Elephas maximus indicus: one gene and its partners. The protein of the gene in region 3 interacts with the protein of the main gene of each other region in a pairwise test. Links are inferred from orthologs where the notes say so. Each region holds a gene or a part of one and is shown on either strand. Other genes may lie near its edges.

What was found.
Region 1: the proteins of nuclear envelope pore membrane protein POM 121C-like (region 3) and LPXN interact in binary tests that used the Homo sapiens proteins (3 or more experiments, as listed by UniProt). The two-hybrid records come from large-scale screens. The link is inferred for Elephas maximus indicus from reciprocal best matches to the Homo sapiens genes POM121 and LPXN.
Region 2: the proteins of nuclear envelope pore membrane protein POM 121C-like (region 3) and AGR2 interact in binary tests that used the Homo sapiens proteins (3 or more experiments, as listed by UniProt). The two-hybrid records come from large-scale screens. The link is inferred for Elephas maximus indicus from reciprocal best matches to the Homo sapiens genes POM121 and AGR2.

The regions. Positions count from the first base shown.
Region 1 is NC_064825.1:120,440,235-120,450,844, reverse strand, and holds the start of LPXN (leupaxin), read left to right. Parts: upstream 1-5,815; 5' UTR 5,816-7,435; coding exon 7,436-7,487; intron 7,488-10,610. Other genes in the region: E3 ubiquitin-protein ligase ZFP91, read right to left, coding at 1,981-2,330. UniProt on the Homo sapiens protein: Transcriptional coactivator for androgen receptor (AR) and serum response factor (SRF). Contributes to the regulation of cell adhesion, spreading and cell migration and acts as a negative regulator in integrin-mediated cell adhesion events.
Region 2 is NC_064826.1:77,634,054-77,644,663, forward strand, and holds the start of AGR2 (anterior gradient protein 2 homolog), read right to left. Parts: upstream 6,375-10,610; 5' UTR 6,333-6,374; intron 6,312-6,332; exon of another isoform or gene 6,171-6,311; intron 5,387-6,170; exon of another isoform or gene 5,273-5,386; intron 2,428-5,272; 5' UTR 2,421-2,427; coding exon 2,291-2,420; intron 2,027-2,290; coding exon 1,963-2,026; intron 1,854-1,962; coding exon 1,801-1,853; intron 462-1,800; coding exon 388-461; intron 1-387. UniProt on the Homo sapiens protein: Required for MUC2 post-transcriptional synthesis and secretion. May play a role in the production of mucus by intestinal cells. Proto-oncogene that may play a role in cell migration, cell differentiation and cell growth. Promotes cell adhesion.
Region 3 is NC_064830.1:110,390,212-110,400,821, forward strand, and holds the start of nuclear envelope pore membrane protein POM 121C-like, read right to left. Parts: upstream 6,063-10,610; 5' UTR 6,015-6,062; coding exon 5,425-6,014; intron 4,310-5,424; coding exon 4,094-4,309; intron 3,776-4,093; coding exon 3,617-3,775; intron 1,968-3,616; coding exon 1,887-1,967; intron 442-1,886; coding exon 270-441; intron 1-269. UniProt on the Homo sapiens protein: Essential component of the nuclear pore complex (NPC). The repeat-containing domain may be involved in anchoring components of the pore complex to the pore membrane. When overexpressed in cells induces the formation of cytoplasmic annulate lamellae (AL).

The DNA of each region.
Region 1 (10,610 bases), on a different chromosome or scaffold from region 3:
TAATTATCTTTGATAAGTAAAACTGGGGGAACAATGAGGGCAAAAGGTGGCAAGGAGATATTTAATTCTCATCATACTTGGTAAAGTAGAGAGTCACGAAAAACAGGATGACCCTCAACAAAATGGGCTGACACTGTTGTTGCAACAACAGGCTCAAGTGTATCAACAATTGTGAAGACGGTGCAGGACCCAGTGTCATTCTGTTCTATTGCACACAGGGTCACTATGAGTCGGAACCGACTGGATGGGCACCTAACAACGACTCTCAAACAGCAGATGAAAACGGAAAGGAATTTTTAAAATATTTTAAGCATTAATTTCTCTATGTGTGGTAACAGTCCCTGGGTAGTGCAACCGGTTATTGTGCTCAGCTGCTAACCAAAGGGTTGGTGGTTTCGGTCTACCCAGAGGTGTCTGGGAAGAAAGCTCTGATGATCGACTTCTGAAAAATCAGCCACTGAAAACCCTCTGGAGCACAGTTCTACTCTGACACACATGGGGTCACCACGAGTCAGAACTAACTTGATGGCAACTGCGGTGATTTTATGTATGCTAATATAAAATATGAAAGATTCAATTTCGCAGAACTTGCAAAATTTACATGAAAACCACTACTACACAATACTTGTAGCTCTGTACCACTGCCACTCAAAACAGTAACTTTCACTCCTCTACTTGGCATTGTGCTAAATGCTTCACACGTCATATTTAATTTCATAAACTTAAATCCAAACAAAGCTATTTATGTATCTTTTCAAATTATTAAAAGTTCTAACTTCAGAATTATTTGTAAATTCAGATTTTTGTTGCCCACAGATTGTAGTTCACACAATTTTCTAAAGGACGTAAACTTAAATGACATTCAAAAGTTCGAAAGCACACCTAGTTACACAGTATAACTTTGAATTTTATTCCCCTTTCTGAGAGGCTTCTAAGGCAGGCATGACAAATCAAGACTTAATTCTTAATTCTGGAACAGGTCAAATCTTGCCACTACCCCTATGGGGGAGTGTGGGTGGGCACTTAAAAAACTGATTGTTTTTCTCTCACTTTCAATTTTCCCCGCTTTCAATAATTTTTTTCACTTGATGGCAACTGATGGTGACACAAATGATGCTTTCAGTAACGAATTAAATATAAATCGCTAACGTGAGTAATTCCCCAAATTTACAAACCTGTGGGCTTTGGGATTCTTTACATGAGTTTTATTTTAGTAAGCAATTTAAAATCTTTATGTCCATGGTTCTCTGTTCACGGTTCCTCTAGTACCTCTGTGTAATAAAGGAATTCTTTTCAAATTAGTCTAATTTTAAGGACGAAGCTCCTTCATTAAAACATGCAAAAACAAATTCTACTCAGGGAAAAAACAAACAAAAAACTAAAGAACATCCATCTATTTTGTTATACGAAAAGACTCCACACTTAAAAATTGGCACAGCCACGTTTTTACCCCCACCAGTAAGTTGTCCATTTCCAGAAAGGAGAAAGTTATGTGAAAATTTGAGTGAAAAAGAGCTACATAAAGATACTAGTGTAAGTGGCTCTTGGGCTAATTAATGGGAAGACAGGGACACATTTTTGAAGGCTAAGATCGTGCTGCGGATTTCCTAACGAAGACGTGATGTAATATAGGAGGGTGGCTGTAAGAGGAAAACGGATAGGTTGACAAAGACGTGCAGTTGCCAGAGCGCGGAATAAGCCTACGGCGGCAGACAAGTGGGCCACTGGGGACAGGGAGGGGTGTATTCCACAAAGGATGATTTCAGAGAGTCGGGAAGTGTCCCCAAAAGGCAGAAGGCATGGGGGGCCGGAGGGGAGTGCTCGGAAGGGTAACTGGGAAAGCAGGGTGACATTAGGCGTGCGGAGCCGGCAGGGGGCAGAGCAGGCAGGATGTCACGTGGAGTGGACTCTACGGGAGCCGGGAGGGTTGCGTGCGGACAGGGGGGTCTTTCCCACCGCCTGAAACACTGCGTTACTCACAGGAGTCGCGGACTCTTCTTGCCCTGAGCTGGAGACGGGGGCTTCGCGGCCTGGGACTGCTGCCCTGGGGCGTCGGGAGGCCTGGCGCTGGGGCTGCTCCTCCGCCGGCGCGGATACTCGGCCTTCCTCCGGCGGGACACAGCAGCGGCGGCGGCGGCCGCAGCGGCCCGGCCCCGGTCGCGGCCTCCCCTCAGCACGCGGCTGCTAGTGGTCCCCGCAGGCGCCGCCGCCGCCGTCGTCTCAGGGGGCCGCTGCTGGGGCTCCTCCGGAGCCGCCTTAGCCACCGCCGCCTCTCCCCCTTCCTGGTCCTGCTGCTCCGGGGGTCTCGGCTCTTCCGTCTCCCCCGGCATCGGGGCTCGTCCGTCCCCACCCCCTCGTCCCAGGCGGCGGAGGCGGAGGCGGCTGCGGCGCTGCTCCCCCCGCCCCCTTCGCCTCCCGGAGCTTCGGGCTCACTCTCACCCTGCGTTCCTGTTCCCCCTCCCCTCCTCCCAGCTCCGAGGGAGCCCCCCCGCCCCCTGCCACTCACTGCCCGCAGCCGCTGGCGCCGCGCGCGCGCCCGACACGGACGCTCCACGGACCAATCGGAGAGGAGGAACGGCCTTGTGACCCCGCCCCTGTCGGCCTCTCACGCAGCGGCGTACCGGGTTTCCTCCCCCACCCCTTTCTTTGACCAATCAGGAAACGGCTTCAAGGGAGCGCGCGAGGTTTCCTTCCCCGCGCACCCACTCTCACCGTTAAACGGCTGCGTCTCGCGACAATCCGAAAGTGACCTTCCCCCCCCCCCCCCGCTCCGGAGATCAACGGGCGCTAGAGGTGGTGGGAGGGGCAGGTCTCGCGAGGGAGGCTAGTAGGAAGAAAACGCACCTCTTTCCCCGCCTGGCGCGCACCCTGGACTGGCTGCGCGCGCACCTGCCTTAGGAGCCGCTAATGCCACCAGGGCTCTTTCTAGCCTCAATTCGTGGAAACAGTCTGGTCGTTCTTCTGCCTCCACCCTGAGTCCCACTTTCCTGTCTTTGGCTTTTTTATCCCCAGCGTCGCCAGGTCTTGCACAGTGACGGGGGACTTTTTTCAGCTGTCGCTTCTCCTTTAAGAAAAAAAGTCCCGTCGGCTGCCGGATGAAAGTCTCAACAAAATGGCGGTGGTAGAACGGAGGCGGGGTCGTGGGGGTCAATGAGAGCCCGCCTCTTGGCGCATGCGTATGGTTAACTTTCCCAAAGGTACCCTGGGATATGAAGTCCTAGCTACTTTGGCCTGCGGCTAAAAAAAGAAACCGAGACGGAGAGGGTGCTGGTGCTGGTGACTGGTGCTCCATGGGAAAAGTAGTTTACTCTCCGCGGTCCGATTTTACTTTTCTAGGGACTCGACGGCACTGGGTTTTAGGTTGGCAGTGCCTCCGGGGTGGGGCGTGACGCCTGCGCAGTGCCAGCCCAAGTGGCGAGGGAGCTGTTGGTCAGCGAGGGTTGTTTTGGGCTTTTTCTTTAGCGTTGGCGTAATGCTTCTTCCCTTGGCATCTCCCCCGGGGCAGGCTAGGGTTCATGTCTACATTATTCGTGTTGCCATCCTGTTTCTGATCTACTAGCCTGTGGACCTCTGGAAAGCAGGAACTGAATCTGATTTGGCTAGGTCCTGAGGGGCCTAGCGCAATGCCTAGCATTCAGTCAGCTCTTAATAAAAGTTTGTGGAACGAATTATAGAATTGATTCTCTACCAGACGTTGTTAGGGCATCAAGAAGCTGGCGACTGCTGCATACCTTTTGGGTTGTGGTTCCTGAGATGGAGGGAAGGGCAAACGGTTGTTAGCGTGTCTCAGGTGACCTCCCCAGGGAAGCTGAAGGTCTACCTCATGCTTCCTGTCCCGAAGACACCTGCGGTTTATGAATGTTTCAACTGCACAGGAAACACAGAATTGCAGCTTTGTGAGAAGTTATTTGTCTGCCCAATACCGTGTGTAACTAAATTGTCCTGATGCGCCAAAAGGGAGTTTCCATTTGCTCATTTCTAAGTTGCAATCAGTGATGCAGTTGGCCTCTTGCATCTCGTTCTTTCGACCGTTATACTCAAGGAACGATTTGAAAGAACAGTCCTTTAACTCTGGAAAATAAAGCATCCGAGGTTAAAAGCCCCAGAAGGATGAGAATGGAAACAGGATCTGGGATCCTATTCTAGATTTCACGTTAAAAATTCAGTTAAACTGTAGATGCAGTGCAGTTACTTGCCAGCCAAGTGCTGAAGTGCGGTTTTCCTTCCAGTATTTTGGCTCAGTTACCACTTAAGGTTAGGCAAATGTTTTATATTCTCTACTGAGTGTTTTGCACTTTCATAGAACTAATGTCATTTTCAGTTGTAAAAACTGTTTGATAGAGTGTGGATGGAAATTTTTTCATACCCATGCTTGCAGTGAGCAGGCTCTTGGAACAGCACTGACATCCAGTGGTTACTGGGAGTAATGCAGAACGGGAATCTTTTAATTAAAAAAACAAAAAAGTCTTACAGACACAATGGAATGGAAAATGAATGATCTCTTTAGATTAACCTAAAAAGAGAACATTGTGTTGTAGAGAAAAGATGATGGACTTTGAAGTCAAACTGGATTATAGTACGTAGCTAACAAAGCTACCTACTAATTCTGTCAAGCAAGTTACTATCCTTGAACTTATTTCACCGCTGGTAAAAATGGTGATAATACTTATTTCACAGGACCCTAATTGTAGTTCTTTACATACTGCCTTCTCTGACTCATTTGGTAAATTTTTATTTCATTCAAGGTGAGTAAAATCTCAGTGGTAAAAAGGTGAAAGTTAACCTCAGTATCACTTTGCAAAGAAACTGCTCTAAGGCAATGCAGCTAGGCAGGAAGTTTGCTGAATCGAGATGTCACCAGTTTAGCACCTGTTGTCTTAAACCTTCCAGTTTCATTTTTCTTTTTTCATGCTGTTAGCGGCTGTTGAGTTGGCGCTATTCATGGTGACCTTATGTATAACAGAACAAAACAGTGCCTTATCCTGGACCATCCTCACAATCGTTCCTATGTTTGAGCCTATTGCTGTAGCCACCATGTTGATCCATCTCATGTTGGATTTCCCTTTTTACCATGGGGTCACATGAGTCAGTGTTGACTCAACAGCAGCCAACAAAAACAGTACCACTTTACCAAATATGATCTTTTCTGATGACGGGCCCTCTATAGATGTTTGACTTTTGAACCCCTGAAATAAGCCAGGCCCTGGCAATGCAAATGTGAATAAACATCAACCCTGCCTTTTAAGGATTTACAATTTATTCAGGAAAGGGATAAGTGTAATTTCTGAATAATGAAGTAAAAAAAAAAGACAACAAAATGAATTGGGTGCTGGTTAGCTCTGATGGAAATTTTATGATCACTGTGCCTCTATTGTCACCCACGTTCACAGAAGAAAGCAAGTTTCCTGATGTACAGTCACAGTGGGACCCACACTGAGAAAATACACAAGCACAAATCTGCCATTTCCATGACTTAAAGATGAGTTCTGGCATGTAGTAAGTAGTGAAATTTTGCTAAATTATTTTGACTCTTCCTTGCCAGTCCACCACAGGAATTCAAATCTTACAACCTGCCTATGTCCTATTTCATTTTAAAACTGTGACCTACCAAAAAAAAAAAAAAAAAATCACCAAATCAAAAGAGAGGAAGTGCTAAGCAAATACAGGAACCAGAAAGGGTTATAGAGGCTGCTTCATGCTGTCTCATTCAGTTCCTTTGTGGTCCTCTTCTTCAGCACATGCAAAAGCAGTTCCTTACAACCTGTGGGACCAGAGTATCTTGGGTGTGTGACAATGGAAGAGTTGGGTGAGTGGAGCTGCTTTGAGGAGAAACTGAGGGAATGAAGACTTGGCTGCCCTGTCTATGTATGGTGGGATGTACTTCTAGCCAGATTGACAGCAGTACTCGGAGATTTTATTTTCACTTCTCTGCTTTCTTCGGCCAACCAAGAGTGAGACATGAGGAACTATGATTGTTTGGGGGAAAGCCAGGTTCACTCTTTGTAGTAGCACAACAGAGAGCTTGGTGCTAACCACAGGGTAAACTTTACAGAAATACTTTTGGACTGAGTCGTGATTGAAACTGTCATTTTTAACATGGGCATTTTGCCCCTTGGGAGATACAGGAGATTATAGGGTAGTCACACAGCTACAGGGATGCGATTTGGGGGGAAGAAAGGAAGAAAGAAAATGGAGAAGGGGAAAGGGTGTTTTGAGGAAGAGAAATGGAGTCGAAGCACAAGAATGAGGGATCTGCAGAGGCTGGAGAAAAGCCAAGGTGGTTTCGTTTTTGTTTCTGGATTAGTGTTGAATCAGTGATTTTGGCACTAAGCTTTTTATTCAGAGGAATTCTGAAGGAACAGATTACTATGGCCTACAAACATGATACCTCCTCCCACCACAAGGCAATTAAAACCAGCAGTGGAACGATTAGCCACTTTAACTGGGGAGGTCCCGCTTTCAGACCTTTGGAGTAAAGCCTATCATTCTTGGGACTTATTTTTTTAGGCTTTGCCAATGTTTGTTCCAGCATCCTTGCTGACACCAAGTCACTCCCTAACCTTTACCCAATTTCCAAGCTGTATTAATTCTACAGTGTCCTGGGCTTTAGCGTGTTGCAAGTGTAAACAACAACAAAAAACACATATTGGACATTGTCCTTTTTTTTTTTTTTTTCCTAATTGTTTTGGGGGTGTGATTTGAGGGCTGGGCACATAGAGGATGCAAGAAAGTCAAATAACCAAAACCCACTGCTGTCGAGTTGATTCCAATTTATAAAGAGAAGACCGTTGAATGAAGAGGAGAAGGTGTTGTTTAACAAACATCGAACTATTGTTGATGTAAAGTCTATTTTGATCCTTGGGGATAGATGCATTTTGGACTTGGGGTAGAATCCAAATTCTTATCCTGTGTGTGAGGGTTGGGGATATCTACATTTCTGCCAAGTTCCAGTAGTCTCTCTGTCTCTCTCTCTCTACTTTTTTAAATTTTAGGCATACCTAATAGTTTTCATGTAGGTTATTCAAACAGGAACTAATGTTTATTCAGTGTCTCAGGCTAAAGTGAGGCATTTTTATATATGCGAATCATTCTAGGGTCTGCAGCAACCCTCTGTAGTAGGTAATGTTCACTTTTTTTCAGATGAGAAACCAGGAAAAAATGAAATCATTTCTTCAAGGTCACTCTCAGGAGCATCTGACGCCAAAGCCAATTAAGTTACAAGGCATTTCTCCTTTTTTGAAAAGTGCATTGGCTCAGGTGTTCCCCCCAATGGAACAACCCACATAATAAAAAACAAGTAGATTTGCACAGTTTTGCATTTCCTGAGCAAGACGAATGGTAGAGAAATCTGGTCTAGAAATACAGAAAGTACCAAGCAGCCTGGAAGCTAACGTTTGTGTAGATTATCCAGATGGCTACACCTCAGTAGCTGTTGATGTCGACACCTGAACAGCTTCTTCATATTGTCATCAGCCTAATAGCTACTTGTAAGTCTTCGGGTGGGTCCCTCTTCTCCTCTGCAGGCATATAGCACTGAAGGCAGATTAGCACAAAGGGGCAGATATTCCCTCTGTAGAACTTCCTAGGTTAGTAGCTTTTATCTACCCAGAAGATTTTACCTAAATTCTCAATACACAGGTGTGCTACATAAAGGGAACCAGTAGCAGACTGTGAAATTGCAGCTCATGGGGACTCCTGAGAGATCCCACTTTACTCCTTTCTTCTTAATGTTGATATTTCATTACTGGAGGGGGTTTGGAGCTATCGGTGAGATAAAGGGCTATAGAGTTTTCAGTCTTGTCCCAACCACTATCTTCCCGTCCCCTCTGCCACCACCACTGGTAGCCCTGTATTTGTCATAGTGAAATTAGTCATGTTCAAATTACAAAATCTGGCAAGATGACCTCAGTATGTTGGTGATATGTGGACTCACAGAAAACAGGAAGAGAAAGGCCTGTTAACTCACAGCCCAAAAGGGAGAGTTTTAATAATTCTGGCTAGCTCGTGCTTCTAAGCGTAACCCCTACTCTTAGTGGTATGGTTTACTTCTCTTATACAGGGTCTCCCCTTTCCCCCAGCCTTTATTGTAAATGACTTTTTATTTTGAATCCAGAAGGATCTTTGACTTCTGGTTGGAGCAAAGCTTAGAAAATACAAATGAGACAGAATAAAAATTTGGAATTCCTGAATTTTCTCAACCTGCCTACCAACATTCTAAGACAATAAGTCTCACTCTCTTTCTACTTTAGTTTTTTTCTTTCCTTTTTTTTTTTTTATTGTGCTTTAGATGAAAGTTTACAGAACAAACTGGTTTCTCATTTAACAGTATACGTGTTGTTTTATGACGTTGGTTAAGAACCCCATGACGTGTCAACACTCTCCCTTCTCAACTTTGGGTTCCCTATTACCAGCTTTCCTGTTCCCTCTTGTCTTCTATTCCTTGCCCCTGGGTTGGTGCACCCCTTTAGTCTGTTTTGTTGTATGGGCCTGTCCAATCTTTGGCTGAAGGATGAGCCACAGGAGTGACTTCATTACTTGGCTGACAAGGTGTTGGGGGCCATACACTCAGGGTTTCTCCAGTCTCTGTCAGGCCAGCAAGTCTGGTCTTTCTTTTTGAGTTAGAGTTTTGTTCTACATTTTTCTGCAGCTCTGTCCGGGACCTTCTGTTGTGATCCCTGTCAGAGCAGTCAGTGGTGGTAGCTGGGCACCATCTAGCTGTACTGGACTCAGTCTGGTGGAGGCCAAGGTAGGTGTGGTCCGTTAGTCCTTTAGATGAATCATTCCTTTGTATCTTTTAGTTTTCTTCATTTTTTCTTGCTCCTGAGGGGGTGAAACCAGTGGAGTATCCTAGATGGCCATTCACAGGCTTTTAAGACCCCAGATGCTACTCATCAAAGTAGAATGTAGAACATTCTCTTTATAAACTAAGTTATGCCAGTTGAGCTAGATTTTTCCTGAGACCATGGTCCCCACAGCACTCAACCCAGCAATTTGGTCCCTCAGAGAGTTTGGATGTGTCTATGGAGGTTCCATGACCTTGCCTTGTACAAGTTGTGCTAGCTTTCCCAGTATTGTGTACTGTCTTACCTTTCACCAAAGTTACCCCTTATCTATTGTCTGTTTAGTGTTTTCCCATCCCTACCCTTCCTCTCCCTCGTAGCCATCAAAGATTATTTCTTTTTGTGTGTAAACCTTTTCATGGGTTTTTACAGTAGTGATCTCATACAATGTTTGTCTTTTTGTGATTGCCTTATTTCATTCAGCATAATGTCCTCCAGATTCATCCATGTTATGAGATGCTTCACAGATTCATTGTTGTTCTCTATCATCGCGTAATACTCCATTGTGTGTATGTACCACAGTTTGATTCTCCATTCACCTGTCGATGGTCATCTAGGTTGTTTCCATCTTTTTGCTATTGTGAACAATGCTCCAATGAACATGGGTGTGCATATTGTTTGACAACTCGTATTTCTTTAGGATATATTCCTAGGAGTGGGATTGTTGGATCATGTGGTATTTCTGTTTCCAGCTTTCTAAGGAAGCGCTATATCGTTTTCCAAAATGGTTGTATCATTTTGCATTCCCACCAGCAGTACGTAAGAGTTCCAATCTCCCCACCGCCTCTCCAACATTTGTTATTTCCTGTTATTTTGATTAATGCCTGTAATACTGGGGTAAGATAGTATCTTGTTGTGGTTTTGATTTGCATTTCTGTAATGGCTGATTGTGAGCATTTCCTTATGTGTCTGTTGGCTGCTCAAATGTCTTCTTTGGTGAAGTGTCTGTTCATTTCCTTTTCCTAATTTTTAATTGGATTATTTGTCTTATTTTTGTAGAGGTGTTGGATTTTCTTGTGGATTTTAGAAATTAGACCTTTGTCTGATTTGTAATAGTCAAATTTTTTTTCTCAGTCTCTAGGTTCTCTTTTTACTCTTTTGGTGAAGTCTTTTGATGAGCATAAATGTTTAATTTTTAGAAGATCCCAGTTATCTAGCTTATCTTCTGGAGTTTGTGTGGTTGGTTGTAGTTAGTATCTTGTTAATCCCGTGTATTAAGGCTTCTAGTGTTGATCCTATGTTTTCTTCTATGAACTTCAGAGTTTTTGGCTTTATATTTAGGTCTTTGACCCATTTAGAATTTGTTTTTGTATATGGCGTGAGGTATGGGTTCTGTTTCATTTTTTTTTGCAGATGGATATCCAGTTTTGCCAGCATCATTTGTTTAGGAAAAAAAAAACATAAAACTGTCTTTTCCCCATTTGATGGACTTTGGGACCTTGTCGAAGATCAGGTGACCATTGGTGGATGGATTTACATCTGGGTTCTCAATTCGGTTCCATTGGTCAATGTATCTGTTGTTGTACCAGTACCAAGCTGTTTTGACTACCTTAGCTGTATAGCAAGCTCTGAGGTCAGGTAGTGTGACTGCTCCCACTTTTTTTTCTTCTTCAGTAGTGCTTTACATATCTGCGGCTTCTTCACTTTCCATATAAAGTTAATGATAAGTTTTTCCATCTCTTTGAAGTATATCGTTGGTCTTTAGATCAGGATTGCATTGTATTTGTAAATTGCTTTGGGTAGAATTGTCGTTTTCGCAATGTTGAGTCT
Region 2 (10,610 bases), on a different chromosome or scaffold from region 3:
CCCTTCTTTGGAGAGAGGAGACAAGGGAAAAGAATGGGTTTGGAGCAGCCAGGACTGTAGGAGGGGCAGAGGACGTTTGTGTGTGTGCAGTAATTTGCAAAATGTAAAACCTTTCGATTATTACAGCAATAGAGAAAATCCTGATTGCCGGGGAATATTTCTCAGGCAACCTAAAATGACTAATTACTAAATAAAAGCATAGACATATAACGTAAATGATCAATAAAATAAAATATCTTTTCTCTTTCCAATCTATGAGATGGGATGTTTGGAATAGATCCCAGTTAATGTAGTATGACTAAGACATACAGGACTGGATGAACTGAATCATCCATTTCTGATAATGAGGCATGGAGAAATGTCAGTGAGGGTGAAAAGTAAACTTACCACTAGGTTGAGGAGGACAAACTGCTCTGCCAATTTCTGGATTTCTTTATTTTCAGCAAACACTTTCTTTAAAGCTATAATGAAATGAGCAGTCATCGAGTACCATATCATTATCGGTGAAAACCACTGTTCTCTGTTACATTCTAAGTTGAACTGTATTTTAATACAGTGCTCTACTTTGCCCTTTTAGCAAATGATCAGTGAAATAATATCTATGTCATTGACTACCTTTGCTTTTTTTTATATTCACTCATTCATTCATTCATTTATTCATTCGCTTACTTTTTTTTAGTCCATATTTACTGAATGGCTACTATGCAGTAGGCACTGTTCTATGCACTGGGGATGGAGTGTAAAACAAAGACCAACAATGTGCTTTCTTCATGGAACTGAAATGCTCGTATGGGAGACAGACCATAAACAAGTAAGTAAATATATAACAATTTCAGGTTGGGGATATGTACTCTGAAGAAAAATAAAGCGAGGGGCTTAGAAACTATGAGGAATTCAGGGAAGACTTCCCTGAGGAGGCGACATTAAGTGAGGGAGAGATCCATTCTAAGATTTACGGAGTAGATCACTCTAGGCAGAGGGAACTGACTGCAAGAGCAGGAGGCCTGAAATGGGCATGAACTTGAATGTTCGAGGAACAGCACTAGGGCCAGGCCAGGTAGTGTGGAGAGAGCAAGGGGAGAGTAGCAGGAATGGAAGGATAGGCAGGAACCAGATTAGATTATGTATTATTATTATTGTAGGCTATGGCCCCAAATTTGGATTTCATTTTACCTGTGATGAGAAGCCACTTGAGCACATGAGTGATAGGACTGGATTTGTGTTTAAAGGCTCATCCATGGAGAATCTGACTATAGAGAGACCATTTAGGTGGCCATTAAAGTATTCTAGGCAAGATGTGATGTTGGCTTGGACCAGGGTAGTAGCAAGAGTCAGCAGTTGAGTGTGGGCCAGACCAGCTATATAATATATAGGGCCTAGTGCAAAATGAAAATGCGAGCTCTTTGTGCAAAAATTATTAAGAGTTTTCAAAGTAGTGACAGCAAACCATTAAACCAAGTGTGGAGCTTTTCTAAGTGTAGGGAACTTAGCCGGTCCTAGATTTAGGATACATTTTGAAGATAAACCCAACAGGGTTTGCTGATGTATTAGATGTGGGATGTAATAAAAACAAAGAAGTTAAGGATAAACCCTAAAACTTGTTTTTCAAAATATGCACAAATGGTTAATAAAAATCATGTGGAAATATCCGAAGTTACTTTAAAACACATTTTTACTACATAAAATATGCCTTTTTATTCAACTGAGCTAGGTGTTAAGGACGCAAAGATGAATGATCTGAACTCTGCCCCTAAATCTAAAAACCTATAAAAGAAAATCATATTGTGAAGAAGAAATTACCTTGACTGTGCGGGCATTCATCCAGGTGATGAATAATCATCAAGGGTTTGTTGCTTTAAGAAACAAAGAGATTGAATAATTTTCGATGAGTAGGATTTCATGTATAGTTAAATATCACTAGGTGGTGCTCTTGAGAGTTTTGCCCAGAGTTCTTGTCTTTACCTTGTCTTGGATTTGTATAAAGCTTCTTCATATGTCTGAATCCAGAAGAGTTGATCACCCCAGCCTAGGACAAAATGAACCAGAATATTTAAAGCTATTATAATCTTAGACCTAAAGCTGTTGAAAAACAATGGTAAAAACTGGGATAGATATACACTCAGTACTAAAGAAGAAAAATCTCTGGAGAAAGTAGAAATAGATATAAACCATGATAAATCTACAAGGATAGATACCAAAATATATTCATCACACAAGTCTCAGTACCAAGAGTTAGGACATCTTTTCCAACAAAGCCGTGACTGGAAACCAACAAGAAGCGGATTCCTACCTCTGGAGAGGGTCTGGGGCAGTTTGAGTTGAGAGTCCTTTTTAGCTCCAGGTTTGACTGTGGTATCTTTGGCCAGAGTATAGGAGAGGGCCACAAGGAGCAAGAATGCTGACACTGATATCTTCTTCATGGCAAATCTGATATGGAAAACAAAAATATAAATGAGAAGTTAATAAAGCAAAAATGCATTAGCCATCTTGAATATCTTCAGATTGCCTTACAACAGTGGGTTACAACAGGAACTGAGGCTCTGCTGAGACTGAGCACATGTGATTGGAGTGAAAAGCTACCTTCCACAGGATTTTTCTAAGAATATGCAGTATGTGTGTCTGTCTGCCTGCCTATCTATCTATCCATCTCTATATAGATATAGAACCATATGATATACGTATAAAGATATAGATTTATATAGAGGTAGATATCTCTAGTCAGAATCGACTCAATGGCACTGGGTTTCTGGGGTTATCTCTATATAGATACAGATTGATATGGAGAAAATATATGTATATTTAATAGATAGATAGGTAGATATGAAGCCCTGATGGCACAGTGGTTAAGAGCTTGGCTGTTAACCCAAAGTTTGGCAGTTCAAATTTACCAGCTGGTCCTTGGAAACCGTATGGGGCAGTTCTACTCTGTCCTGTAGAGTCACTATGAGTTGGAATCAACTCCACGGCACACAAAAACAACATATATGTATATATAAAACCCATTGGTGTCGAGTCGATTCTGACTTATAGAGATCCTATAAGACAGAGTAGAACTGGCCGATACGGTTTTCTAGGCTGAAATCTTTACAGGAGCAGATTGCCAGGTCTTTTCTCCCACGGAGCAGCTGGTAGGTTCAAACTGCCAAAGTTTTTGGTTAGCAGTGGAGCTTTTAACCATTGCACCAACAGGATACATATATATGTATATATAAAAGCCAAACCTGTTGCCGTCGAGTCCATTCTGACTCATAGCAACCCTATAGGACTGCCCCATAGGGTTTCCAAAGAGTGGCTGGTGGATTTGAACTGCCAACCTTTTGGTTAGCACCCATAGCTCTTAAACACTTCGCCATCAAGGATCACTCTCTCTAGTAAAACCTGTGAGAGCAGGAACCTGTGTAAGGCAGCAACCTGTCAGAGAAGGAACACTCAAATATTTTCCACTAAAACAAGTGATACAAAAGTGGTAAGATAGCACCCTATTAAATGCAGAAAAGTTGGAAGACCTGGAAAAACAAGGCAGTCCACTCTCACAGCTTTCACTGTATATGAATGTACACTCGTAGTAAAGGGAATTTATATTTAAATACTATGTTTAAAAATTATAGTTCTTGAAGGCACCATAAGGGTTACCTCCTCTTTCCCCCCTACCTACTGCCTCATTTTATAAATGAAGAATCTGAACCTCAGAGAAAGAGAAAAAAGACTTATGAGATGGGCCCAGAACTAAGGCTTCTGGGTCTTGCCGTTTTGCAGTGCTGGTTGCCATCTTCTCACCCTGAGACAATAACCCTAAACATACATAGCTAAGATGGGGACATTGCAATTAAAGAATGAGAATTGAGTAAAATGATTGCCTGTTTTATTTAGAACCTGCCAGCTTTGTCACTTAAATGGTGACTTGCACCACAAAATTCTGTCCTTAGTGTGACATGGATGCAAACTCTACGTTAGCTCTGAGTTGAGTAGAGTACATCAATGCTAATTCCTTCCAGTGATGTAATTCTTTGGCTCTCTATCCTGGTCTGCACGGATAGGTGGCTGTGGCATGCACCTTAATGTACAAAACATTCTATGTGACTCATAACACAGAAAAACAAACCCCATGGTGTCTCTTTGTCAAATTCTTTTTTCCTTTCCAGTACTCCACAATCAATTCTTAGGAAAAGTTACACTCCTGCTGGAGCAGAGGCCTGTGGACAGGAAAGTGAATGGCAAGAGAAGATCTATGATGAGTGAAGGAGTGAGCTAGCTAGCAAAGCGAGTTAGTTGCATTAACAAGTCAGTAAGATTATCCAGGGGCCATAAAATGTAAGGCTGGTGACAGAATTCTAGTAAAGCTGGATACGGAAATTACTTAAACAGAAATATGAAACTATAGCACCTAACTCTAATATTGGTGTAGGTTTTGAATGAAATCAAATAAATTCTGCAAAGGAAGCCCAATAGGCTATCATTTTTTAGTGTCTGTAAGGGGGAAAGTTTCTCATGATCTGATAGCCTAAATGGAAATCTTTGCTAAATATTAGCAAATTAAAAAAAAAAAAAAGGCCCTTGCTAAGTTACCAAATCCAGATGGTACCCAGTATTAAACTCACTAATTATTTTCCAATCATAGTATATTGCCACAAACTGTCTTAAAAAATACAAAAGCAAAAAGCTGGGAGATACTTTCTTCATTTACTATACCCATAAAGATGCAGAAATGCCAATAAAACTTTTGTTTCCTAGCATTCTACACAGAGCCCTGGGGGTGCAATGGTTAAGTGCGCTTGGCTGCTAACTGAAACGCTGAGTGTTTGAACTTACCAAGCAGCAAAAAGACCTGGTGATCTGCTCTCAGAAAGGTAACAGCCTAGAAAACCCTATGAGGCAGCTCTACTCTGTCACGTGGAGTTGCCCTGAGTTAAAATCGACTGAATGGCACCTAACAGCAACATTCTGCAGAAACAGTTCAAACGTACTAAACCCACTGCCCTCGAGTTGATTCCGACTCATAGCGACCCTACAGGACAGAGTAATACAGGTCAATAATACCCAGCCTTCTGATTATGCAGATTTCTATTTAATGTAATAATAATAATAAAAAATTCTCTGTGAGAATAACTGTACTTTTGAAATATTAATTGAGTCAGAAATACATCATGGCAAATAACTGCTTTGAATTTATTAATTAGTATTTATCAACATTTGACTATGTATTTTATTCATAACAGCATCTGTACACATTTGAAAAAATAGTAGTAAATTGGTTGTGAAGCATTTTACTTACTTAGTCCACTGACAGTTCTCCCTGGGCAAGTGGCTATTAGAACCCTTAAAATAACTCCGGTTTTCAGGTTGGAACTACTGATATAATACACGTGTTTTATGGCAGGATAACTCAAGGAAGCCTAACATAAATCCTGCTGTGCAAACATCCTGCTCTGGGGTACTTTCTGAGATTCTGTCTGCACGTTTTCCTAATCTGAATAGACCCTGCTCTGCAAACTTCCTGCATAAACCCCCTCAAAACAGGATGCTAACTGTGGAAGATATTGATAATTTGGAGACACACACACAACACCCTACAAAACCAGCATTTTTGCTGGTCACTTTATCCCTGGTCTTCTTGTATTTAACAAGGAGTGAACTTACATGAGGTTTTGGTGTTCTTATTCATAAATGCTTCCGGAAAGCAAGATGGGAGAAGCAACAAGAATATCTTTACACCAGATAAAGAACACTGTTTTCTAATTAGCAATAATACATTTCAAGTGGGCAATCTGAGCTGCGTTTCACAGTTGAGGAGCCTGTGGGCCTGGGTTTTAGCCAGCAGAAGAGAAGCAGAGTGGTGACTAAGGAAATCCCTGGGTGAGCTGGCACTTTCCCAGGCTTGCAAACTCCTAGAGTTCACCCAACCTTAAACCTCTTGTTTCCTAAAGGAGAAATCATTACTTTGAACCAGCTTGGGAAAGTAACACCTTGTCAGCTCAAACCTCCCCACCCCACAGTGGCCCAAGAAAGCAGTAGGTGGAAATTCCATTTTGCCCTCTCTACATTCCACCTCATTGCCCTTAGAGCTACCTCACTCTTCTCTGCTTGCTGATTACTGGCAACTTTCCACAACAGCCAGAGGCCAAAGCTCATTCTAGCAGGTGCCCTTCTGAAGCTATTGCGAGGAGTCTTACCTGTATTTCCCCACCCACCTGCCTTGTGCGAGCAGCCAGGATGCGGTCCCAAAGTCAGACTGTGCCACTGCAGCCTGAGCCTCTATTTATGCTCCAGAGCACACCTCAATCCCACCCACTAATCCTGTATTTACATGTCGCTAACTCAACTCGGAAACTAACCTTCCTTTTTGCCCCAAATGGTTGTCTTCCCTGGACTAAAGAGTTCTTTGTTTTTAATACTACGTTGCAAAAGGTATACTGTTCAGTACGCATGCTTTTAACTGTTTGTGAAAGTATATTGTAAAGATACTTGAAAAAGCTGGGCAGAATGCCAAATCCAGGTAAGCTTTAAATGAAGACGTTTGATTTGCCTGAAGGCTGATCTGTCTTTACCTGATTGGATGGGGTTTGTGGTTTGTAGATTTTTTTTCTCCCCCTTGGGCAGATTGCCTTTATTTAGTTGAAAACCCACAAGAAGTGATTCACAATTGTAACCCCCCCAGTGATATTATGTGCTATAATGCTCCATTAGGATAGAAATGATTTTCCATGATATACTTCCCTCTTTCTGGCAAACGAAATGTATGCTCACTATAGGTATTAAAAAAAAAAAATCTAGCACCATATAATATTTCAAAACTGAGAAAGTTATTGAAAAAAGGCATCCGAACACTGTGAGCTCATAATAATTACCACTGAATACGTGCGGCAACTTCCTTCCAAAGAGTTCAAACACATTTCACATATTTTCTCATTTGATGGCAAACTTTACTGTTAGGTTTGCAGGGAGCCATCTACCTATTTTTCAGACCTAGAAACTAAGGTCTGCAACTGTTTTTTCTTTTTTTTTTTTACTCAAGAGCATGCAATTAATTACTAAGGACTTTAAGACCGGACTTGTATTTTCTCTGAGACTCCTGCAATTCTGTTTTATTCATGAAGCTGTACGAAATCCTTAACAGTTCGGAATGAGGAAATCTTTAACAACAGAAAATTAACTAATGAGATACAAGCCTTATAAAAGTAACTTTTTAAAATGAGCTACTATAGTATTTCAAAAAGGTTTCGAAGTATCTTTTTTTTTTTTTTAATAAAGCCTTAAAATCTGTGGACAAAATAGTGATTCCCCAGATGCTGAATTTTCATTCCACTCTACGTAAGTCTGCAGAGATAATTTCTTTAGGAGTTTGACTGAAAACAATGATTTGACCTAAACTCTTAAAGCTGGAAAGGTCTGTATATAGAACCTTTGTCTATTCAGCCCTTAGATTACTGGGCTCAACCCCTCCATTTTGTAGATGAAAAAATGAAAATGTCAAAAATTAAATGACCTGCCGAAGGTCCCCAGGACTAGTTTGGGGCAGAGTGGGGACCAAAGCCTGCATCTCTTCCCATCTTTACCTGCCAAGAGTGGAACATGGATGAAATTTGAGACCAAAAGATTCCAATCAGAGTCCTGCTACCAGGTGCTCACTCACCGATGATCTCAGAACATCATTGAATATCTCTGAAACTTCAGTGTCCTTATCCATAAAACGGAACATCACACATGGCTGTTGTATTAAATGAGTTAAGGAAAGAGAAGATTCTGGATAATTACAAATATCTCTGGTCATTGTAATTAAATATAATGATGTAATGATTTCCTAACTGTTCTGTCTGTGCCTAATCCCTTGTCCATAAAACCCAGAATGGATCATGATGGCCAACACATAGCAAGAAGGCAGTAATTACAGAACAGATTGGCCATAGACCATGGCTGCTCTGACCTTCGTGTGAGGCAACTAGGGTTTTGTAGATGGTATGAGAATGCCTGGAGATAGGTGGATAAAGGTTTTTCCTTACATATTATCAAACTTTATTGCTTCCAACAATGATGCTATGTGATCAGTCTTTGGAATTTGTCTGATTTTGTAAGAATCTGTTGCTATTAGGTAGATAATTTTGATTTCCTATTTCTGAGTAGAACTTGATAATGTGACCTGTGAAATAATGTTTGATGAGTAAAACAAACTTGTTACTATTGACATTAACAATGGTTGCACTTGATTAAATGGGTTTCACACTATTGTCTTTTAGACATTTGTGTCATTTATAGTGTTGGAATCTTTTATTCAAGCAGATTTTTAAGTATGTTATTTTCTATTTTTGAGTAAAATTTGGAGACATAATAACAATAACTAGCATTTATTGAGCAACAGCTATGCACTAGGTACTTGCCTAGATACTCAAATAAATAAAATTATTTTTTTCACCAAATATTTATGACACCTATTTTTGTAGCAAGTATACCATGATTGAAGGTAATGGTTAAAGTGTGTTTGACTGCTAACTGAAAGGTCAGCAGTTCGAACCCTCCAGCTGCTCCACGAGAGAAAGTTGTGGCAGTTTGCTTCTGTAAAAATTTACAGCTTTGGAAACCCTATGGGGCAGTTCTACTCTGTTCCATGGGGTCTCTATGAGTCGAAATTGACTCAGTGGCAATGGGTTTTGTTTTTAAAGATATAAAGATGAAAAAAGATATGGTCAGTTAATGAGGTAGCCAGACAAATAAATAGATAATTGCAGTGTGGGAAAAACAATAAAGTTTAAGACATTGTCCTTGCCATAAGGTTACTTACAATCTGATTGAAGAATTAAGATAGAACCCTATTAAAAATTAACCATCTACTTGAGCATAGAATGCCACAAGGGACAGGCAAGTGGTATAGACAACAGATGTTATTATTTTTCAGTGAAGGTAGAGATTACTATCCTTTAGAAGGCGTTGAGTGGGAATCGACTTGATGGCAACTGGTTAGAATGCTCAAGTCAGTTGTAGAAAGCAAGATTTCCAGATAGATCCAGTGATATAACCAAAAAACCAAACCCAGTGCCGTCAAGTCAATTCCGACTCACAGCGACCCTATAGGACAGAGTAGAACTGCTCCACAGAGTTTCCAAGGAGCGCCTGGTGGATTTGAACTGCCGACCCTTTGGTTAGCAGCTGTAGCACTTAACCACTACGCCACCAAGGTTACCCAGTGATATAGAATTTGCAAAATATGTTTGTGGGATATTGTACTGGAATCATCTAGCTGGAGTATGACTCATCTGGATAGCTCATAGACAATAGGGTTGAAAGGTGTTTTGGGCTATTTGTCTGGGGCCTTGAATATAGTTTTAATGAGTTTAAAATTCATCCTCAAGAGGGAGTGCTGTGTGGTGATTAAGAGGGCAAGCTGTAGATTCAGATTGCTCTGAGTTCAAATCTGGCTTCATTACAATTATATACTACCCCAGGCAGGTTACTTAACCTCTCATGCTTGTCTCACTTATCAACAGGGATAGTAAGACTGACTTTTTTGGGTCTGTAGAATGATTATGTACGATAATACAGGTTAAGTGCTTACAAGGGTACATAGCACATAATAAGCACTCAAAAATATTATTTATCATTATAGAATATATCACTTGCTTCTTTGTATTACAATCATTTAGGTCTCAGTTGATTAGCTCCATGATAGCTGAATCTTAATTGATTTCTCTTTGATCTAAAGCTTATCACCAGGCTTAAACTTTCAATGCATATTTGCAAAAAATAACAACCTCAGCAGGTTTATTATTTTCTTTTAAAAATAAGCTCAGATGAGTGTACATAATTAACCCAAAGTTGAAAAGCTAATAAGAGAGAGAGAGGACCTAAAAATTGCCCATAACTGCTGATCATTACTCCAGTATTCCTTTCAGTCCACCAAGTCACCTTCTGATGTCAGGAATTGATGTGCTAAACCTGTAAGTGAATGTTAATCTCACAGAGCTGAAAGTATGAATAAGTTTTTGTACTTAGAAAGTTTCCCTCTAAAGGAAACTTTTCAAAATGGCAAATCAAGTTGTTGAGCAAGAAAGCTCTCCCCAAACTCTGGCTCAGAGAAGCAGACGCATAAAGAAACAGTCACACATAAGTGTTTTGACATACAGGAAGAGCTGATTTCCATTTGAGTTTCTGCTTTATGTCTTAGAAGGGTTTTTGTGCATAGAAATAATTGTTTCCAGCTTCCTGGGGTTTAGTTGATAATCAGAGCATTAAAGTTGAAACTTTAAAACTTAGTTCTTCCTAAATCTACTAGTTTTAAGTTTAAAATAGGGAGTTATAGGGACAGAGGAATAAAAAGTAAGTTGAAATATATAAAAAATTCAAAGTAATTTCCCCATGACTCCTTATCTTTTTGAAGATGGGCATTTTTAAAGGAAGCATTAATGTCATTATTTTGGAATTTAAAGTGAACAATCTCAGTAAATACTTAAAACTTCCCATTGAAGTGATATGTTACTAATGAATTTGGACAGACTGAAGATGGGTCATTTTTTTAAAAAAAAGATCTTGGTCTACTAACTACTATAGCCACATACGAAAGTAGGATTTTATATGCATACATTAAGGAGACGTGTCCTTAGCAGCTGGAATCTGACCCTAGA
Region 3 (10,610 bases):
GTATCTACCTTTTTAGTAAAATTAATACCATTTATTGAATTGTTCATGAACTGCAACACAAGCTGTCTCATAGCAGGTTCCCACATACGCATTAGTTGTTTCCAGGCTTTCTATCTATTCTATTGGTCTACACTTATCATTCAAGGGTTCTGTTAGCTTAGAGACTGTCCCAACATCTGGCAGAGTAAACATTTGCTAATGAATTAATTCTCATCTACCCAGTTCAACCTGGGGAACCCACTCCTCCCGCACCACAAGAACTACTGTACCTGAGAGAAACCACGAGTAGAACTATAGGAACTGGTAATGGCATTACGGCTGGAGCTTGGGATGCCAACCGCACACGTGTTCGTCACGGAGCTCACAGACGAGGTGCGGGACCTCTTGTTCAAGTGGTCATCTGAGCTCTGGGAATGGAAACCTCTCTTCAGAGAACCAGGTCTAATAAAAGGGAAAAAGAGAGTTAAACGTGCTACTAAAAGCAGCACTCTTTGGAGGCTTCATCCAATCTGGTCACGGCACCTTTCTTAACTGAAAGGAAGATGTACACATTCCTGGTTTTACTGTTAACAATTTAGCTGAATACATCCAACAAAGTCAGTAAGGAAAAGCCAAATATTTAAAGATTAAATGCACAATTCCATTTTTAGAAAATGTACACTAACCTGTGGGGACAGGAGTGGGGAGAACAGGATGGGACTAGAGAAATTACTAAGGGACAAGAGGAAACTTTTTGAGGCAATGGATGTGATGTGTTCATTATACTGTACAGTGCTGGTTTCACATGTATATACATGTCAAAACCTATCAAAGTGTGCACTTTACCATATGTCAATTAAACTTCAATAAAGCTGTTTTTAAAAATTGGAATTTCAGAGTTAAGCTGAACCATTTTTCCTAAACTGCCAACTGAAACAGAAATTCCCTATACATCTTTATCAAGAACTAGTCATCCAACCTCTATTAAAATGTAGACAACTGACCATCTCCTAGAGTGATCCATTTCAACCAGGCACCAGCTTATTCTTATACTAGATTAAAATTTACTTCCTCTAACTTCCACCTGTGGCTTGTATTTGGAGCTGAACCAAACAAGTTGCTTTCCCTCTTTCATGTGACAGTCCTTCAGTTTTTGGGAGACCTTTATGCACCTCCCTATTTCTTCATTTCCCCTGAAGTTTTTGTCCTTTGGGCTAGTACTTCTGTACCTTCCAAAACCCCGCACCCATCACCACCACCTGCTTGGCTGCTCCAAATCCCTTTAACATCTTATCTGCTTCACTCAGAATGAATCCCCTCTTACAGTGCATGGACAGCCTGAACACGAACAGGAGACGTAAAGCAGGACTACAACTTCCCTGCTGCACTCTGGTCTCTGTTCTTCGAGTCAGGAAGGAGGTGCACATCAGCCTTCTGGGTAGCCAGATACTGGGGACTCAAAGCCAGCACCTAAGCTGTCCTGAGTTTTCTCACACATATTTCTCAGCCACTTTCTCTCCCATTCAGTTCCTCCTCAAATGTATTTTTAAACTCAAAACACAAATAAAATCTAATATACTGATATCAAGTTCCCAGAAACTTAACATTTACCGTAAATTTCATATTGCTGGATTTTATCCATCGCAAAACACCTGTGATCTTTGTTTATATACTTGGCCATCAGTCTTGGCACATTTCACCCATATTGATGTAAACACATTAAGTGGAATTAGAAGACAGTTAATTGTGTTACATTACTCAAAATATTCCTACCTGATGTGAGAGATCTGAACCTGAACTACTAATGCAATGCAAAAGCAAAGAGGAAAATCTACAGGGCAACGCTCTGGTAATACCCTTTTTCAAAATAGTCTACATCCATCCCATCCAGATGGGCTCTCACTTACTTAGGCACAAATGAAGCGGGGACTCCATTGGCCACCAGGGGCTCGAATGCTGAATGTCCACTTCCACTGCTATCATGGCGCCTGAGGCAAATAAAAAAAACTCTTGATAAAATAACTTTTTATCCTTACAGCATATATAGTATCTCTAGGGAGCATGTGTTCCAGCTAGATAAGAAAAAGTTTGCTTCAAAGCCGTAGGATTCCGAGAGGTCAATTTAATCTAAGATTGTCCAGATAATAAGGAAAATATGAATTACGTCAAGACCTTTTGAACTAGTCAGGTGTTACTGGTTCTTTACTTGCTAACTTCACACTGAAGTGTTACAATCACAGATTTAACATATCGCCACCCACAAACTAAAAAAAAAAACAAACAAGCAACAAAAACCTTTAAGGACCAAGCCACACTCCCATGGTGCTCCAGAGGCTGATGTGGTAAGTCTGTCGGGAAAACCCTCGCCGGTCATGTGTGAGAACAGCCTATGCAAGGCGGCACGTGATCACTACTTATTCCAATTAGGGGAAAATAATACAGGATCCTCAGTTATGAACTTCCCAGAGTCAAGAAAAATTACCTCCCTGGAGAAGATGAGAAACCTGTGTGGACTGTAAGAATAGCTGTTGCCTCCTCTTCATCCTCACAACCCCTGCTACTCCTGCTTAGCTGGGTGACACCAGCTCAAACTGCTCACCTGCCACAGACCATAAGTCACATTTCCAGTCACCATCACCTCATCTTCTATATTATACAAGTATATTTCCATTTATTAAGATTTCCCCTACTTAATTTAGTAATCTACAATATCAAAGCTGATCAACTCTGAAACTGTCGGGTATGAACAATCTGGTCTAGGTAATTGTGGCGGTGGTTATATTTTTCAGGTGTGGCATCTGATATCTCACCTTATACAGAGAAACCCCCTTCTCATTACCTTCTGTTATATACACCTTGTTTTGTACCCCTCCCCTGTACACTTATAGTCTTCAATCACCTTGTTTATTTCATTGTTTTTTAATTTGTCTATCTCCCTCAAGAAAGCCCCTTGAGGGTAGGGACTTTGTTTTATTCACTGCTCTATCCACAGTACCTAGAACAGGCCCTGGCACACAGTGGGTACCCAATTAATATTTGTTAAATTAAAAAAAGTGCGGAGTCCTTACTGATTCCTTGGAAAGCCATAAGTAGTTCTATATCATGACTAGCCACTTCATCTCTTAAATTTGGGAAACAGACTGTTTACTGTACTTCCGTTAAGGTATCACATAAGGCAAATAATGAAATTGGTTCTACTCTCATTACTGGTAAATCTACCACACTCTAGTCTTCACTCTTCTTTGGCAAGCATTTCCTTTAGCACAATTATGACTTTTAAACAGGTAGTTGGCCAAATAAATCAACAACACAAGATTGTAAGTGGAAGACTTTGAGCATTCTCTCTCAAATATAAAATTAAACATGCTAGTATCAAAAGTGTGAGGCTGATATGGCTAATACTTGTTGGTTTATCTCTAATACTTATAAAAAAGGTAGACTATAAAATTTATCTACCCATGGAAATGAACAGCATTAATGCCTTTGTTACCAGGCTCCTTCATGAAAGCCAGAGAAGGGAATATGAAGGTTCATAAACTAAAGTTGGCTTCTGTATATTTTTTGGGAATGATCTGTATTTCAACAAATTCCCAGGAGTACACAGGGAGGCTGTTTAGTAGTCTGCTGGGCCTATTACCTTCTTTTATTTTCCTGGCCATCTGAGAATATTTGGTCTTCCTCCTCCACTGTTCTTTTCTTCCTCTCCTTCAGGGCACTCAGTACAGTCTCCTTTGCACATGGGTCTGGAATATTACCTGATGGTGAGGACAGTGTTGAGCTGATTATCTGCTCTGGTCTGCAATGAAAAACAAAAATCTAGTATTAAAATATTTTAATTACTACACATTTAGCATAGATGCTAATAATAGGAAATCAAAACCCAAGCTAGCAAAAGTGTAATTTATACATTCACAGAAATTGCTCTTAGTGATTTAAGCCACCGTTAAGGTCAAAAAATTAAAAAAGGTTCAATGGCTACAATTTAGGGTTTCTCTCATTCAAATAAACAGTTATTTCTTCTTTTTCCTTCAGAGTTGTCAAAGGAATAACCACACAAGAGTAACAGAGAGTAAAGTGGACACAAAAGGGAATCTGTTCTTTCCACAATACTCACACTGGTGAACGAACCAACTTGCTATCAGGAGGAGCAATCCTCACTGTCACTGGGCTGCACACCATCTTGGAATTACGTGCAGACAGCACCGTCTTCTTGTGGTAACCGTTCCAGCACACCGTGGGAAGTGCCCCCAGGAAGGAATATTGGGCCTGCTGGATTGGGTAACTTCTCCGAGGTGTTATTACAAACCGATTTGGCAAAGTCCCACAATTCCTGCAAAGAATGGGAGATACGCCATGGAAGCAAAGAAGTATAAAAGAATGTCAGAAAGTTAAAGTGGCCAAACAACCATGTGGGTTTGGACGTCTTTCAGAGAGCTTAAATCTCTTTCTAACACAGAACACAATATTTCTATGGCAACTTTCCCCCATTCTATTTAAGGGTAGAAATTGGCAGCTGCTTAGCAACTGTCTCAACAAGGGACTTCAACAATTTGCTAGGGAAGCTGGAACCCCTGCCCATGCAATGGCATACAAGTGTGTGTTAGGGTGCACAGGGAGGAATTCTTCAAGAATTCTTCAATCTTTTCAGTCTTTTACGCTAAAACTCCAGTAATGAATACACCCAAAGCCAAACATTTTTAACCAGTTTCCACACCTAAATGTTCACCTTCTCAAACAAATGTACTTATCAAGAATCTAACATTTTCACCAAATTTTTGTATTCGCCTGTATCACCTCAGCTATTGGGACTAAATAAAAATGTCTCTTTAATTTGAATTCTCTGGAACACTTCGAGTTCTGCTAACTGATATAATTTCTCACTGGTCCAAAGACCAAAATACACTACAGACTATGCTTGAAAGAAAAAGTAATTTTCACTCGAAATAGAAATATTAGTGCTTTATCAAATATACTGCTAAATCTGTAATCCCCCAAACCGACCCAAACCCGCTGCCGTTGATTCCCACTCACAGCGACCCTACAGGGCAGAAGAGAACCGCCCCCAGGGTTTCCAAGGCTTAATCTTTACGGAAAGAGACCGCCACATCTCCCTCCCGCAAAGCGGCTGGTGGGTCACACCGCGGACCTTTGAGTCAGAGTGGGCGCTTTCACCACTGAGCCACCAGGGCTCCCCGCTGAATCTATACTACACGAAAATTCTGGCGGTTTTAAGAACTGGGAGGGCGGGGAATAGCGCTGGCCTCACATCTCCTTCCACCAGCGGAGAGGAGGGCAGGAGGCCACGGACACGCCAAGCGTTTAAAGAAGGCAAAAATCACAGGGAAGCCGCTTCCGACTGAACGCAAACCAACGAAACGACCAAACACCTAAGTCCTCGCCTTAACGCCCCCCAACAGACACCGACAAGGGCCCCGGAAGCCCTACCGCCGGGGCAGCCTCCTCGAGGCTCGGAGCACAGGCGTGGGGGGCCCGGGCTGCGCGCGGTGGCCGAGGCCGGCCGAGGGCGCCGGCGGCGAGGGCCGGGCGGCCGGGCGGAGGGCGGCGGGCCGGCGGCCGGGCCCCTGCGGCGGGTCCCGGGCCTCCCGAGCGGGCGGAGGCCGCGGAGGGCCGGGCTTGCCCAGGTAGCTGCCCATGAGCAGCAGCTCAGCCGCGGCGGGCCCCTCGAGCAGCGCCCGCGGCTCCAGCAGGCTGCCGTTCACTGCCGGCTTGGCCGGCGGCGAGGGCGGCCGCGTCCGCTGGCGCCGCGCGTTCCGACCCGGCGCCGAGGCGCGCGCACCCCGGGGCTCGCGGCTCAGTCCCCACCAGGCCGCGGTAGCCCCCACGGCCAGCCAGGCCAGCGCGGCCGCCGCCGGCACCAGGAGCAGCACGAGGCCGAGCAGCGAGAGGCCGAGCAGCGAGAGGCCGACGAGCGCCGCCCCGGCCGGGCCGCCGCAGCCCCCGCCCCGGCCGTCCCTGACGCCGGCTGCCGGCCGCCGCCGCTCGCCTCCTCCAGCCGCCGCAGCCGCCGGAGACATCGCGGCTCCGCGCCGCGGAGGACTTAAATATCCCAGCGTGCACCGCGCGGCGCGCCGCGTCACCGCGCCGGCGACGTCACTGCGCACGCGACGGCGCGGAGCGACGCCATTGCTTGGCAACTCGGTAGACCGAGACCGAATTTGAAAAACGCGGCTTTGCTCCAGAAGCGAGCTCTGAGTCTCGAGGTTTCCCGCGTGTCTCCCCGCAGTGCACCAACCAGACATGATCCTGTGGAAGAATCTTGTTAAAAATAAAAGCAGGGAAAGTACTCACCTAATCCTTACTTCATGATATTCTCACGTAATTCCGAACCCTAGATGTTTTCCAGGGGCTCATCTCCCCTCCTGGAAACCCCGGTGGCCTGGTTAAGACCTACGGCTGTTACCCGAAGGTCGGCAGTCAGTCCACCAGGCGCTCCCTGGAAACCGTAGGGGGCAGCTCTCTGCCCTATAGGGTCGCTATGAGTCGGAATCGACAGCAACAGGGTAATCTCCCCTCCGGAAACCTTGTGGCGCAGCGATTAGAGTGCTCCGCTGCCAACCGAAATGGCGGTGGTTTGAACCCAGCAGCCGCTTTCCAAGAGAAAGATTGGCAGTTTCCTCCCGTGAAGATAACCCGCTGCTGTCGAGTCGATTCTGACTCAGAGCGACCCTACGGGACAGAGTAGAACTGCCCCACAGGGTTTCCAAGGAGCGCCTGGCGGATTACAACTGCGGACCTTTCGGTTGGCAGCGGTAGCTCTTAACCCCTACGGCGCCAGGGTTTCCCTGTAAAGATTACAGCCTTCGAAACCCTATGGGGCAGCTTACTCTGTCCTATGGGATCTCTATGAACCGGCATCCACAGCAAAAAGTATATTTTTGTTGTTGTTTTTAAGGTTAATCTCCCCTCCAGGGCCGCTATGAGTAGGAATCCACCGGACAGCAATGGGTTTAATCTCCCAGAAGAGATCGTTACCAAGCACTTGCCACAATTGCTAACAGAGACTGAGTTTTTCAGTTACCTTGTTTACTCCAAAATATAAATAGCTAGAGGGGACTAACTTCAACAGCAATAGGGAAAAGCAAGACCAAACCAACCATCCTATTAAACGTAGAACTACAAACCAAACCAAACCCAGTGCCGTTGGGCTGATTCCGGACTCATAGCGACCCTATAGGGCAGAGTAGAACTGTCCCTTAGGGTTTCCAAGGCTGTAAATCTTTAGGGGAGCGACTGCCACATATTTCTTCCGTGGAGTTGCTGGTGGTTTGAACCGCCGACCTTTTAGATCGCAGCTGACCGCTTTAACTACTGTGCTACCAGGGCTCCTGAACTAGTTCTAATAAATTTTGGATCAGAGAGTCCCTAGGGCTGCTGCTTCAGGTCCTGAATCTGAGTTTCTACAGTACAAGCTGGTTAAGCAGTGCTAGAAAACAAACAAACCCAGTGCTGTCAAGTCGATTCCCTACCAAATTTTGAAGATTAATGACCAGTTCACCTATGTTAAATTTGGTGGTCAGAGAAAATAGCGGTTGCCTAGGGCTGCAGAGTAGGGTGGGGGTGGTGGGGAATGGGAGTGATTGCTAAGGGTTACAGGGTTTCATTTTCAGGGAAGAAAAAAGTGTTTTAAAATTAGATTCTCGGGATGGTTGCACAACCCTGTGAATATACTAAAAAACACTGAATTGAATTCAATTTAAATGGGTGAATTGTATGAGATGTGAATCATATCTTAACAAAGCTGTTGAAAAAAAATTGGTAGTATGCCAATCCAGATTTTGACCTAGCTCAGCTTTCTCAGCATAACTCATTCATTGATTTCTTCATTCCATTACTGATGTACACTCAAATGACTTGGGGGGAGGGGGGTAAGGTCTAGAAGCCCTCGGTTTGGTAGCGAAGAAATATGTGTAAATAGAAAACTACAGTTCATAGAGGCACAGAAAGAGAAGGCATGATAAATGGGCAGGAGGGCCAGGGAGGTGCGACTTGAGCTGAAACAGCTGGCTAAACCAGGCTCCAGGCAGGCACACAGAGACGGAAACGAGTGTGATGCAAGAGTTTCCAAATAGTTCAGTATGGCCGGAGATGCAGGTGTTTGGGGGGTAAGGAGGTTGGAAATGTACGCAGGGCTTAGCAAAGGTGCCTCTGAGGCAACTTGGAGAGATAAGCCAGCTCGGCTTCTATCAGTTTAATATTTTGTGATTTTACATAAAATTTCATTTGAAAGGAAAAGTGGGTAGGCTATCTTGCTTTAAAAAAAAATCTAATTCAATTACAGATGAGAAGACCCAATCCAGAAAAGTAACATGGCTTATCCAACATTACACAGTAACCTGCTGCCATCGAGCAGATTCCGACTTATAGCGACTGTCATGGATTGAATTATGTCCCCCAAAAATGTGTGCATCAGTTTGGCTGGGCCATGATTCCTGGTATTGTGTGATTTTCCTGTATGTTGTAAATCCTGCCTCTATGATGTTAATGAGGGAGGATAGGTGGCACTTGCGTGAGTGAGACAGGACTCAATCTACAAGACTGGATTGTGTTTTGAGATGTCTTGAGATATAAAAGAAAGAAGCAAGCAGAGAGACATGGGGACCTCATACCACTAAGACAGCAATGCTGGGAGCAGAGCACATCCTTTGGACCCGGGGTCCCTGAACAAAGATGCTCCCAGTCCAGGGGAACATTGATGAGAAGGCCAACAGAGAGAGAAAGCCTTCCCCTGGAGCTGATGCCCTGAATTTGGACTTTTAGCCTACTTTACTGTGAGAAAATAAACTTCTCTTTGTGAAAGCCATCCACTTGTAGTATTTCTGTTATAGCAGCACTAGATGACTAAGACAGCGACCTTGCAGGGCGGAGCAGAACTGCTCCACAGGGTTTGCAAGGCTGTAGTCTTTATGGAAGCAGACAGCCACATCTCCCGGCTGCTGGGTTCAAATCACCAACCTTTCAGTTAGCAGCCTAGCTCTTTAACCACCAGGGCTCCTCTACACAGTAAATTAGAAAAGTAGTAGCATAGAAAAGAACTCCAAATTCCTCAGACATTGCTCTTTTTGACACAGTAAATAACTGCTTCATATTCTGGATTACAAGGAACAGAGACATGGCAGAGAACGCCTGGAAACTGCAGGGGTCACAGAACCCTTTCACTGGCAAGTAGTCAGCTCCAAGTCTGAATGGTAAACCTACAGAACCTGGAAACCACATAAGGAAAAGGAACAATTTCTGAAGCCAAAGCTCATACTTTAAAACAGAATAAATGAAATTAGCCATCTGTGGACGTGTCCTGAGGGCTTTTCCAAGTCCACAGCCCGGATCAGGCTGCAATCTCAGGAAGCTACGGCTAGAATATAACTGATGAGACTGAAACTGTTCTGGTTTTACAGTGTTGGATTCATTCTCAAGATAGAAATGCCCCTTCAGTAGAGAAAAACAATCCAGTGGGCTACCTATTGGAAGCATTCTCCCCAAATATTATTGTTTGTTCTGACTTCATGGTGACCAAGCAACTTCATGCTCCGTGCTTTGGTTCCCTCAGTTGCCTAGCATATATTGCAGGCAGTAAGACAAAACTAACCATGCGTCTTGTCTTGACCGCCCACACAGACTCTGTGGCTCCTCCTCAGTGAAAGCATCACCACCCGGGAGAGCTGGAAGGGATAAAAGAGGCCGGCCTCACAATAACCAAACTCACGAGAAACAACTGTATAGACCAGAAACCAATTTATTTGTACTGAAGTATATTTCTTTCCAGTCTCTAGAATATTCTATATGCAAAAAGACAATATAAGCAGCTAAAAGATAAGCTAAAATTTGGGAAAAAAACAATTCTAATGCACATAACCAAAAAAGGATTACCAGTTGCTGTCGATTTTGACTCATGGTGACCCCATGTGTGTCAGAGTAGAACTATCCCCCATAGGGTTTTCTTTGGTTATTTAAAAATTTTATTTTATTGTTGTTGTTGAGAACGTACACAGCAAAACATACACCAATTCAACAGTTTCTACATGTACCATTTAGCGACACTGATTGCATTCTTCAAGTTCTGCAACCATTCTCACTCTCCTTTTCTGAGTTGTTCCTTCCCATTAACATAAACTCACTGTCCCCTAAGGTTTCTGTCTTTCAATTTGCTGTTCTTGCTTTGATCCCATATAGTTCTTAAAAGAGCATAATGCTCAAGGCAGACCTTTTTTACTAGCAGAGCTAAATTATTGTTTGGTTTTAAGATTTCAGGGGATAGTTTCGGTTTAAGGTTTAAAGATTATCTCAGGGCAATAATTTCAGGCGTTCATCTACCATCATGGTTCCAGGAAGTCTGGAGTCCATGAGAATTTGAAGTTCTGTTCTACATTTTCCCCCTTTTGATCAGGATTCTTCTATAGATCTTTGACCCAAATGTTCAGGAACGGTAGCCAGGCACCATCCAGTTTTTCTGGTCTCATGGGAAAAAAGGTGGTTGTTCATGGAGTCATTTAGCCACACATTCCATATTTCTCCTTCTATTCCTGACTCTCTTCTTCCTCTGTTGCTCCAGGCAAATAGAGACCAACTGTTGTGCCTTGGGTGGCTGCTTGCAAACTTTTAAGACCCCAGGCACT